3 linked regions of the Drosophila melanogaster genome follow. The protein of the gene in region 1 interacts with the protein of each later gene in a pairwise test. Each region holds a gene or a part of one and is shown in the gene's direction. Other genes may lie near its edges.

Region 1 (4,815 bases):
TCCGCGTTTTGTTTATACAATTTTCTGGTGCGGACCGTGTGCGTGTGGCTTACTGGGGAACCCAGAAAAATCGTACTACTCGTACATAAATAATGCAATAAGTTGGGGCCCCACCGAATCGAGACAAAAACAGAAGGTGGAAAAATTGAAAAAAAAATCGAAACTGTTTTTGCATTCGCTGCACACATACACACACACCCATCAAACATCACACCTCTTCTGCTGTCCGAACACTCGAATACTTGAATACTCGGCTTTTAACCGAGCTTTGCACTCAATTTGATTGCCGGCAGAAGCGGCTGCAAAATCCACGGTAGTCACATGCGACACATGTGAAACACGCAGGGGAGGCCCATTTTACGGTGAAGGCGAAGGTGTTGCTTTTGTAATCGGCGGCCTAGGCACATTGGTCGCAAAACAACTAAAATGGGTGGTCAAATTTGGTATGTGACTCAGTTCAAAATATACAATATACATATATATCCAAATTAGATTATTAAATGGAATGTACAATTTGGAATAATCAAATATTTTTGAAATTATCTTCCTTGTCAAGTGGCAGTATACGACGTTTCATGTTAATATTTAATATGTTAATGTTAATGTTTAATATTTATTATTTAATTTAGAAATATTAAAACAAAGAAAGATTAACGCCCATGGTAGTGCAAAATTTGTTTTAAAATTAAAAAAAATATTTTATACACTTTTAATCGGGCATTTCTCCATATCATATTACCACTGTACTTGCACTAGTTCGTGTGTGGGCGTTTCTAGGCGATCCCTTGTACCGCGCCCAGTCTTCGAAGTGCAAGCGCCGCTAGGCGACGAAGGCAAACAAGTGTTTTGGGTGTCTGCTATACTCGTAAAATGCGAGGAGGATAAAAGCCCATGGAACGTCTATCGGAAAGCTTTTGGAGCGTAGATTAATGTTACTGGCTGTGGTCGGTCTGCTGGCCGTGTTGCTATTTTGTTATTTACCCGCTCGTTGCCAGTACGGTTATTTATTTATTTATGCTAATGTTGCTGGCAGAGCCGCTGACGCTGCATTTGCATTGTTTAGAATGAGAACAGCGAGAAAACGAGCGCAGCAACAAAAAGGGGGCACAGACAATAACAACAACTATAACAACAACATGTGCAACAGCAACTGCAGCTACAGCGGTAGCAACAAAAACACGACAAGTGGCACTCACGCGACAAAGGCCCATATATAAAGTGTTCTCATGGTTATCTCGTTGCCTGTGCGATACTTTCAAGTGTTTCACATGCAGAGGAAAAATTGATTTTTATCAATATAATAAACAATACACATATTCACATACATAATTCACTCACTGCAAATCATTTTCATTAAATCCAATTCATAGTTTTAAGATTTCACAAATTTGTTTAAGCACCCTAATAATATGTACCAAAAAAAAAATTTCTCACTGTGTGCGGATATTTTGGATACAAGCACATAGAAAGTTCGAAGTTCCCATCGCGTAGAAATTGATGGAAAATTCTCAGCACGTTCGTCAGTTGGTTCTGCTGCTCCGCTTGATTGACAACTGGGCGTCGGATCGCCCAGCTCAACTTGAATCGTTGAAGTATGGGCTTGAAATGCACCTGTGGCTCCAAACTTCGACGAAACCAGAGGCGAAGATGTCGCCGCTGGGCACGATGATCGATGGGGATCCAGATTCAAAACCAAGTTGATTTACCTCGACGATTCAGCGGATATCACCGAAAGTAACCACCTTTCACAAATGGCTAGAGTTAAGTTTGATAATAAGCAGAAATGGAAATCAGAACTAGCAGAAGTTAGGTGTACTCAGCACTAGCACCTATTGTTATAACAACCAAAAACTCTACTAACTTTACATATATTTAATTATTTAATTTCAATCTATCCAACATACCTTAGTTATTATAATCATTCAGAGAACACTTAAATAATTTTAAGCTTCGAAATCGATCTCTGTTCTTGATATATTTTCTTATTCACCATGAACTCCGACAAATCGGAAAGTGACTTCGCGAACAAAGTGCGCTTTCACCTCAGTAAGGACGAGCTGGAGCGGCAGATGAGGAAAATTCACGACCGTGAGGAATCCGTAGACGAAAAAATGCGTCCATCAGGAAGCGAAAACAGCGGTCATAATTGCAATACGAGCTCGTCCTCAAGTCTGCCACGGCAGGAGTCCTGGATCTTCGAGAGCGTTGGGGGTTACTTTCTCGCCAACGAAAATTTGGCCAAGATGAGTTTGCCTTGTCAGGAACAGTTGCTGATGAGGGATCTAATCTATGCCTTCTCGGGTGTTCCATCTGCATATGTAAAGCCTGATATTCAGATCGATCAGATTTCCGAAATGTCTGCAGTGGATATAGCCAAGATTCGCTTTCGATTGAAAAAGACCTTCACTGGGGCTTTTAGGGCTTTGGCCAATGAAACATTACCCCTGATAGGTTATTATATTAGTGTACAGAGCTATATAGAGGAGACCAATATGTCGCCTAACTGCGGAAGAACACGACTGACCTTAGCCACTGCCTTAAGTGATCAACTGCAGGACTATTATGATCTACAGTCCAAGTTGGAAACGGATTTGCAGGACAAGAAGTTGGATCTCAAGGATCTGGTGCGACAGGTGCGTCCTTGGTTGCCTATTTTGAAGACTTTTTCCAACATGGCCAGCAGTGCCCGTGGCAATTTGACCAGCGCCCAGGTCCTAACATTGCTGGACCAGTTCTACCGGGATCTGAAGGACACTGATATAGATCTAAAGGAACGAGTGAACAAAATTTTGACTTCGACTAGTCGAGCTTACATGAAAATTGTTCAGCTTTGGATGCAAAAGGGTGTTCTATTCGATACGCAGCATGAGTTTTTTGTGGAGGACACGGAGCCCTCGAGTACAATGAGCAGTACTCTTTTGGCGCCGGAGAAATGTTGCCACGCCTACTGGGCGGAACGGTACCGCCTTTTGCCAGACCGTTTGCCCGGTTTCTTGCTTTCCCAGGCGGATGATATTTTTCTGGCCGGAAAGTACCTAAACATTTTGAGGCAGTGCAATGTTTCATTGAAGCTGCTACAGCGGCCACTAGCTTATAGTCAAGGCGATTTGGGACATGAGGAGATCATTAAAACAAGCTATGAGCTGCCAGCACATAAGTTTCTCAAGGTTTTGGTGGAGGAGCACAATTTGCCTTTACACATTCGCAATTTGAAGTCCTATTTCCTGCTGCAGGAGGAAGGCTTCTCCGAAACTTTTCTGCACAAATGCCATGAGTACCTAAAGTACAATGTGGAAAGGTTAATTCCCGAGAAGCTACAGACTCTTCTAGCAGAGACCCTGCATAAGTCCAATGATTTCATTAAGGATAATGTTCGCTGTCAGCTTAAGGTTTGCGATGTAGCCACACTATTGGGTAGGCAACATAAAGCACAGAGAGCTGTAGAAGATGAAGAAGAGGAGGAGAAGGAGAGCTGCAGCGAGCAGGATCCTCCGGAGGTCCTGAATCTCTACGGCTACGAGGCATTAGCTCTTGGCTATGAAACAAAATGGCCACTAAGCTTTATTATCTACCCGGAGCTCCTAGAGCAATTGCAGATGTTACAGCGTGTCCTGTTTTTTTTGCACTATGTGAAACATCATTTGACAGTCCTTTGGCAAAGTCCTTGTGAGGGTACGGGTCTCCAGCTAACCAATCGATCTGGAAAACTTCGCCACCGCATGCTAATGTGTATGCTAAGTCTGGAAAACCACATCATCCAGGACATCACCGAACCCCGATGGCAATCTTTGACCTTAACGGTGGACAAGGCAAAATGTATCGACGAGGTACTAAACAAATTGGAGAGCACCGTAGAAGAATGCCTGCGTCTGGGGTTACTACCCACTGCCAACACGTTTGTGAAATCTCTATACACACTCGGTCATGTGTGTCTCAACTTTTGTGACTTTGTGGAATCCTCGATAGGAGAGAAAAGTACCAAAGAACTCGAGCAGGAAGTGGTCGAGTACGAAGAGGAATTTAAAAGCTTTTTGACCAGCATTTTGGAGTTGGTTAGCCAGTTGGCTAAGACGAAAGACATTGCGGAACGGGACTCCTGTAAACAATTGCTCAAACGACTTGGGGAGTTAATTGAGTTCTCCGATTTGGATAAGGATCAAATAGCTTCCAATATTTAATCAACGGCATCAAAACGTGTCCAACAGCTTCGCCAAATCACCCGTGCTTTTTACTCTCCATGACCCATGGAACATTTAGTGCTGTGTTTACTTAACTATATTATAAGAGCGTTCTTGCAAAATGAAGTTAACTCTTTCATTTACTTTATTAATCCTTTGAGATTCAAAAAGCTATCAATCCATTATCCACAAGTGTGAGCTTGTCTTATGCGTATGACACCTGTGGCGCTCTTCCACTTTTAAGTTATTGTTAAGTGGCGCACAATGGGCGTGAATAATCGATGTGTGCGTTTAATTTCTGGCCAACGAGCATTATGTCGAGTCACGGTGGCAAGTTTGGGGGCTAGTGCAACGAAAGCGGCGATTTGCATAAGATCGTAAATTATTTTAAATGGCGGTAAAGAGATTTTAATGCAGTCCCGCAGCCTCAGCCTCAGTCTGGGTATAGCCCGATTCGTTGGAGGGGCCAAAGCCCGCTGCCAATTTGAATTCAAAGGCCAATTGTTATGTAAATGCACTTGCCTCAGTTGCAGACGCACGCAAGCGCACGAAAATTGTATTAATAAATAAATGGGGGAAAAAAAAGGAAAACTCGCGAGCGGCTGTCCAGAAATCACTTAATACTTATCGCTTTAAG
Region 2 (4,994 bases), about 15 Mb from region 1:
GGCGTGGCAAAAATCGATACTCGAAAATATACTTTATATGGTTGGAAACGCTTCATTCTGCCTATTACATACTTTTCAACGAATCTAGTATACCCTTTTACTCTACGAGTAACGAGTATAATTATCTTAATATATCTTAATATCTCCTTTATAAAGGTGTTAATTTTGTGCACAAAAAGTGGGTAAATTTCCCATAGTGCAATGGAAACACCATTAAAGCGTCGTGTAAAAAAGTTGGTCAATTTTTTCTAATGGTTTGTACTGTTCCGGGATGGCACAACAACTTGGAATCACATTTATAAGTTTTTTTTGTGAATTGAAAAACTAAACTTAAATCGCAAATACATATATCAATAGAACAATATGAATGTTCTTACTACGTAAAATAATAGGCAATTTTCCCTGGCCCCTAACGGAACCGAAGTCGCCCTACTCAGCTGATTTTATCCCAATCTGACACGCCCGTGACATGCTGTTGCCTATCCGAAAATATTTGTGTACCACGGATTACATTGCAGTAATGGATTTAATTTAAGCTGTGGACCGCGTTCGACTCAACTGCAGATTCATCAGCGCCGAGAACGCATACTGATAAGTCGAATCAGAATCAGACAAAGCGGTATGCTGCGTTCTGCTGAAAAAGGAAAGGGAGAGCGAAAACACGGATGGCTGTGTTGGTGCGATTGATAAATACGAGTTCATTCTTAAAGCTTATTTTTTAGATGACCAAGCGGGAGACAACAACGAGTAAACAAGAGCAACAGCAACAGCGGGCAATAAAGTTGATTGCAGCAGTGGCAAATTGAATATTTGCCAGCGCGCGTGTGTGTGTGCGCAGCCTTTTTGTTTGTGCTTGTTCGCATTGTTAAATATCCGCACCAGCAGTGCAGCCAAATGGGATGATAGATGCCGAATGCCGAATGGCGCGCGAGCAGAGCGAGTGGCTACCATTGTTAATCCGCAGTTCGTCCTCTGTGCCCCTTGCCTCCTCCCTCGCTCATTCCTGTGCCACAGCTCAGCTTGCTACCAAAACTCGACCTCGACTTCATCCCTTGCTCTCTCGGAACTCTCATGCTCAAGCTGTTGCTTCAGCTACAGCTCAGCGTACAATTGTTGCTTTGCGGAGACTGCGCTCATTGCCGGGTGCTGCCAATCCTGGGTGCAATCCGTTCATTATTTATCCGGCTGGTGGTAAGCAAATAGCGCTCACAAGCCACTTAGTGCTATCACTCTTGGATTAATCACTGGGCACGGCTCGGCGATAACGTGTCACTGCCACAAACGGAACCGCAACGGCGATAAATATTTTTCACAGCGAAAATAACACTGCCTAACAAAGTTTGAAACACTGTGACTAGAACATTTCCAAACTTCAGCTATTTCTTCAGCTATCAGTTATATATTTTAGAATAGATAAACAGAATATATATAATGCCATTTATGTAATGATTTCGATGAATAGATAGATGGCTAATATTTTACCGGTACTCCACCAAGGTGTTTTAAAGAAGACGGCTTTAAAGGTTTCCTATAATATACATTTTTTTATTAAATTTCATTTTATTTATTTTAAAATGCGTCCCGTTTGAGTGGAGGATATGTCTAATATAGTCCTAAATAGATACCAAGTAAATATCTTTTCGTATCACTCCACACACACACAAAAAGTTGAGTTTATAATTACATTATTCACGCAGCCCTCTAGGCTCCCTCACTATGCCAATTTCTTTTGTTGTGTAGTGTAATAGCATAGGATTGGCAGCCTCCGATTGTTTACACCAGCGTAGGCGGCACTGCAACAACAACAATAGCATCCTCTGCTCTCATTCTCTCTCCCGTGCTTTGCGCTCTGGAGCGGAGCAGAAAAGAAAAGCGCCATTCGCTCACTTTCTCTCCGGCTCTCTTTGTGCTGCTGCGCCAATTTGCAAGAAAACTAAGTTGGTTTGCTGTGCAGTTGTGACAATCGTCGAGGAGAGCAGCGGCGCACTCTCTAAAAGGAAGCTGCCAAGCCAACGAACGGCCAAGCGAGAGGTGACAAGTGAAAAGTGGCAAGTGGATGTACCAAATAGTGACAGGTTCACTAGTAGTAATCGCAAGTTAGCTGCCCGTTTGGCTGCAGATTTTCGTCAAAGTTCGCTATTCGTGTTGTTTTTTGATGTTTTCGTCTCTCTCGGCTGTCCGCATAGGCAATGTGTGTATACATATACGCGATTTCACACTGACAACAGGGCCGGGCGCGTGTATGAGTGTGGTTATTTTGCCGTGTTGCCGAACATCTGTATCTGTATCTGAATCTGTGGCAGCCAATAGTTGTGGCAAGGCCCTCGAGCAACTCGCAACACAACACATAACAACAGCATCCCCAATAAGTGGCAGCAACTACGCCGCATGGCAAAGCACCAACGGCCGCATTTGTTGTTAATTGAAATAAATTGAAATAAATTCCCCGACTTTGCTGCTCATATTGTTAATAAAGAGAAGCCGGAGCGACGCAACAGCGAATCAGCAGCAGTAAACAAAACTGTGAGCAAAAGGTTTTAGTTCCATTCCAGGCGTCAGACGACTTTGAGTACAAGCGACAAACAACCAGAACATCTAAGGAATTCCGAGCGAACAATGTGAATAATGTTGGTATCACAAGCAATTGGTGGCAATAACCAAAAAGAGCACATGCGTTTATTTATAGACCCCAGTGTGTTCCCATTAGTGAGTGTGTGGCGTGCTGTGCACTGCAAATGAGTTCAAGCTGCAGCCAAAGAGAAGGAGGCGTCCTACCAATACCAATCCTTGTGTAGTCTTGTTCCCTCCACAATCAGATCGGTCGCAGACCAACAGTAGCAGCTGAAATTCCTCGATCGGCACACGAAATCGTATGTAAATACTTTCCTGCCGAGTCAGCCTCTCAGAATGCCAATGTTTACAGTATTCGATTATTGTTTAACTAACAGCCTCTTATGGGAAAGTGGAATACATACATTAATTGATGGGGGAGGTGGGGGTTGGGGTTTGTAGGGTCTGCTATAAGCAGATTTCCCGTATTTGATTTGTCCCCTCTGTTGTCTCAGTTTCAGTGGGACCCATACTCCCGAAAATCAATTGTATTTAACTGTGCGTATGCGATTTCGAAAACAAAAACACCCCTCCTGCTGGGGTCATTGCACCCAAGGTGCGTGGGTGCGTGTGTCAACACTTTTGAACCCCTAAGCACCCACCCGAGAAATACGCCGAAAAGTATGCAACGAACATGGCGACCATCAGCACAAGCAACTTTAACGATTTTCTCACCTCATTTCTATACTTACTTTGCAGCGCAGCATCCGGCGACACAGGACATGCGCAGTGGCCTTTTTGGTAGTTGCATTTCGGCCAACAGCGACTGAAAGAGCAGAGAGCGGAGGAGCATGGCCTTTTCCCGCCACAACATCGAGAAGCGCCGACTCATCGAGCTCGTGCGACTCAACCCAATCCTCTGGGACTGCCGCCTGCCACACTACAAGCGTTCGGACAAGCGAAAAGCCATCAAATGGAACGAGTTGGGGCGGCTCTTCAACGTTAATGGCGAGCGGGTGCAGCGCACGTTTACTTCGCTCCGCGAGATCTTCCGCCGCGAGCTGAACCACGAAAAGATGCTGGGCACCACGCGCTTCAAGTCCAAGTGGGAATACTACGATGCCATGGCCTTCCTCAAGGAGGTCATTCGGGAACGCAAGTAAGACGACGTTTGACCTGCCCTAAAATACTACCTTATGATATATGTAGATCCCGTTTAAGGGATTTTGGACATTCCAGTTATTTGTTCTAGTGTCTTTGGAAAAAGGGTTTACTAAATTCGTTGAAAAGTGTGTAACAGGTAAAAGGAAGCGTTTTCGACCATATAAGGTACATATATATATTTCTGAACAGGATCAATAGCCAAGCCTCGAGCTCAGGAACTATAAAATACCACACTTTTGAAAAATGTTTTCATTTTTCTTGGTTTCATTTTTTTTATCTTACCGATATACCAAAAACACTTTGGCTACGCCTCTTCTGAAAAATTCAAACCGCTCACAACAATTTTAATTCCCCAATATCTATCGACAAGCAAGGAAAATTATAGAATTTCGCGTTCGCACTAGCTGAGTAACGGGTATGTGATAGTCGGGTTTTCGACTACAGCAATTGTGTTCCGATTATAATCACTGAAAAAGTTGTTTGAGCAAATTCGGAGAGAGGTGACCGCGAAATAATCACCGTCACTTAAAAGCCTAAACATATTTACATATTCAACATTTAGATTTTGATTTTACGCGATTTTTAAGTTTTTATTGTTATAAGAAGAATGATTAGTGTAAGGGATTGGGAATATAAATGTCGAGATAGTTCTCAAAATAATACGCAAGTCACCTTCCTCGGTTACAATAAATTTACATTGATTTTACTGAAATCAAATCAAATAAAAACTAGTTAAAGAAAATAACTGTTGTCTACCGAATAAGAACAATGACGCAGATAAGAATATAAATGTCTAGATAATTCACAAGGATTGTGTGCAAGTCAAATCTAAATTTAAGCATTTAGGAAGGGTATACATAGAAATTCTATTAAAACTTTGAATTTGTTTCATGTGGTCGGTCCAGAACTGACCAACAGGCAAGAATGAAATGCATGCCTGCGGATCTGCATCATAGCACCTATCTGCTAACCTTGAGGCAAGCACCCGCTTTCCAAAAAAGCTAATTACAACTTTTGCTTTTTAGATCTCGCGAGCGCATCAAGCACGGCTCTTTGGATTCAGCACCAGTAGCCACAGGCAGCAGCAACAATAACAACAACTGCGTAAGCCGCAATAGCAGCAACAACAACAGCAGCAGTGCGGCCCTAGACGAATATCAGTACTTTGCTCCTAGCGACCCCAACAACCCGAACAATCAGCCCCAGCTGCAGCCCGAACCAAAGAGTAGTCTGCCAGTGACTATTCCCAGTCTAAGTCTCACCCTCAGCCAGTTGCCGGT
Region 3 (2,836 bases), on another chromosome or scaffold:
ATTGAGATTCAGAGAGTCCCGAGAGACTTTTCTTGATTGACCGTCAGAAATTACCATGTTTTTCTATCCATACATTTAATATTTACCCACGTCGCCCCTCGAGGCAAAATCGTGTCTGCAAACTTTGCATAATAGACGTGCAAATGTTTGCCAAATATTTGCCGGCTAAGGAAAATGTGTAAAGAATTATTGGGAATTTTTCGGGGCTGAAAATTGGATAAATATTTGTGGCTTGACAACATTTTCTCAAGCTAAAGTTTGTTTTCACTAGAGTTAAGGAATTTAATCGCATTTAACCAAATACAAATATTTGCACGTTGGTTCATTTCCTTTCTTCGTGACAACGAAATACTTTATTTCTTTTTAAAACTTTAAACAAGTATTTACATGACTATATGTAAGTTAAGGAGAAATCCCCGGAAAAAACCAAACATGACTCATTAAAGAAACGAGGAAAATCTATTGATATGCAGGCTCAAATTTGAATTGAAAAGCTTATTCGAAAAAAGCTTTACCATTTGCCAATTTTCAGTTTATTTATCGATAACTTTGCTCTAGAAGCAATACTTTCGTCAATAGAAATAATTAAGAGTACCTACCTACCTATTCGCTATCAGCAAATGCTGATATTGAGCTTTTTTATGACGGCAAATATTTTGGCGTTTGTTTGGTTAGTCAGTCCCATGAGTTGGGCATTCGCTTAATTCAGTTACCAGCGATAAGTCGACACATTTGGACGGACTTTCTACAGAAGATTAGTGCACCACTATGCCACCACCACCCCACGATCATTGCGGCGGACCGCCTCATCGTCGTGGACCCGTGATTAAGGTACAGATTGCACCACCATGGCCACGCCGCCATCACCGCCCACCACCCCAAGTTGTGGTGGTGCAGCAGCAGGCTCCGCCACCGCCACCAGTCATGGTGGTGCAACAGGCGCCTCCGCCACCGTACTACCAAAATCCACCACCACCACCACCGCCCGGCAGCAGCCACTACCACAATCCACAGTATTGAGAAGGAACTTTGATCTGTAAAATCCTTCACAATGAATTTATACCACGTAGCCTTACTTAACAACTATATGTCCTCAATAAAGTATAACCTTATAAACTAAGTTTTAGTTTATAGTTTTTAGTTTTTTTGCATATTTGTCATGAGTAATGGTTGAGTTTCAATCGAGTTGATTCCATCACACACACTCCCTCTTTTTATTATCAAAATCTCTAATCCGTGTTTTTTTTTTTTAAGTCTTTATCGGAACACCTGGTTAATTTAGACGGCAATCACTTGTTGTTTTGTTAATGTCTAGCAAAACTTTAATTCATTTTCACCAATGCTCTGTCAATGCTTCTATGCTCCTATATCAGAAATAATAACGCGTTACCCATAGATAAGCCGGAATCAGTTAATATAGTAAACAAAATGCGAGTAAAATAGCGAAACCCGATCACCTGTAAATGCACAACTGTCCGGTCGCTGTTATCAGACCTTGTCGAATGACTAAGCCATCTTATCTTTGCCTCTAACCACTGGAATAATTCCCACAAACCCTGATTGATGGAGCTTCGCAGTTCCAGTTTGTTTCGAGCTAGACGTGTTGTGCCACGGACTTTCCAGTATTCAACGCGTTGCTGGGTGGTGAAGTTGGTTCGGTTGGCTGGTTGATTATTTGGCTAGTTAATCAACTATGCGGTACTATGAAGATCCATGTGGCTATCCTCCTCGCCATCACCATGGTCGTCCAAATATCGAAATTGATGTGGTTCCCGGTTGGGGTGGCGGCTACTATCCGCCGCCGCCTCCGCCTCGGCCCGCCGAGGTAGTCTACATGACCCCGGCGGCTACCTATGTGCCCGGCACACAGGTGATAATGCCGCAACCCTACGGCGGCGTCACGGTGGCCACCACCAATGGATACTATCCGCAGCAGCAGCAGCAGGCGTACGAGTATCAGTACCAGTATCAGCAGCCCTACAACAATCCACCGTATCCGCAGTGGTGAACGAGGTCGGAATGGAAACGAAGCCATCACCACTAACAAAAAAAAAATATACTATCGATGGAGTGAAGGAAGGGATAGATAACAAGAAATCAAAACAAATATCACTTTGTCCTAATCTTAAGTTGAAATGACAACGCAAATGGTGCAATGGTCTTGACATTACGCACCACAAAGTTAACAAGTTAATAACCAGAGGAAGGTACAAAAAAACAAAACTGGAATTTAACTTTAACCGTTTCAAAGAAAATATAATTGTGCTATATAACCTTAAAACGAAATAAATAAAATATCTTGCTCTTCAAAAAACCTACCCGTCTTTAATTCTAAAAATATTCTAAATACTGCATTATCGATTTTATTTATGTTTATGTAATTTAGTGTGAGTCATCAATCAGAAGCATGGAATTAAGTCCTTCCTCTTAAATATAAAATTGTGATTCATGGAAACCTTGAACTCTCCTCATGAAATTCAATTCGGAATTTCGTATTTATCAAATGGCACTTATCAATTTTATTTTTTTTTTATCGAAAAAAACACATTTATTCCACCTGACAAGATAACCAACTAAGCTACTGTGCAAAACGCACATAACAAAATTAGGAAAAAAAATTCCCCCTCATTAGCGATAAAAATTGACTTAAATAGTTAAGCAGGCGAAGAAGCAAGTTCAGTTCGAGAAAGCAGTCAAAGGCATTCACTTCACCCACTAAGGATACAATACTTGGATAGTTTCTGAAGAAAATGCCGTACTACGAGGAGGAACGTCGTCATCACCATCATCACCATCACGGTGGAAGGCCAATTGTAGAGGTGGACATTGTGCCGCC

Evidence for each region.
Region 2: the proteins of t-Grip84 (region 1) and CG12768 interact in a two-hybrid assay, tested with the Drosophila melanogaster proteins (one large-scale study listed by BioGRID).
Region 3: the proteins of t-Grip84 (region 1) and CG15422 interact in a two-hybrid assay, tested with the Drosophila melanogaster proteins (one large-scale study listed by BioGRID).

Annotation. Positions count from the first base shown.
Region 1 is NT_037436.4:7,588,095-7,592,909, reverse strand, and holds t-Grip84 (testis-specific gamma-tubulin ring protein 84), read left to right. Parts: upstream 1-1,911; 5' UTR 1,912-1,991; coding exon 1,992-4,178; 3' UTR 4,179-4,302; downstream 4,303-4,815.
Region 2 is NT_037436.4:22,908,525-22,913,518, forward strand, and holds the start of CG12768 (uncharacterized protein), read left to right. Parts: upstream 1-1,966; 5' UTR 1,967-2,048; intron 2,049-2,308; exon of another isoform or gene 2,309-2,627; intron 2,628-3,065; exon of another isoform or gene 3,066-3,231; intron 3,232-3,309; 5' UTR 3,310-3,401; coding exon 3,402-3,709; intron 3,710-4,739; coding exon 4,740-4,994.
Region 3 is NT_033779.5:4,003,363-4,006,198, forward strand, and holds CG15422 (uncharacterized protein), read left to right. Parts: upstream 1-1,621; 5' UTR 1,622-1,693; coding exon 1,694-2,008; 3' UTR 2,009-2,308; downstream 2,309-2,836. Other genes in the region: CG34176 (uncharacterized protein), read left to right, coding at 769-1,020; CG15423 (uncharacterized protein), read left to right, coding at 2,751-2,836.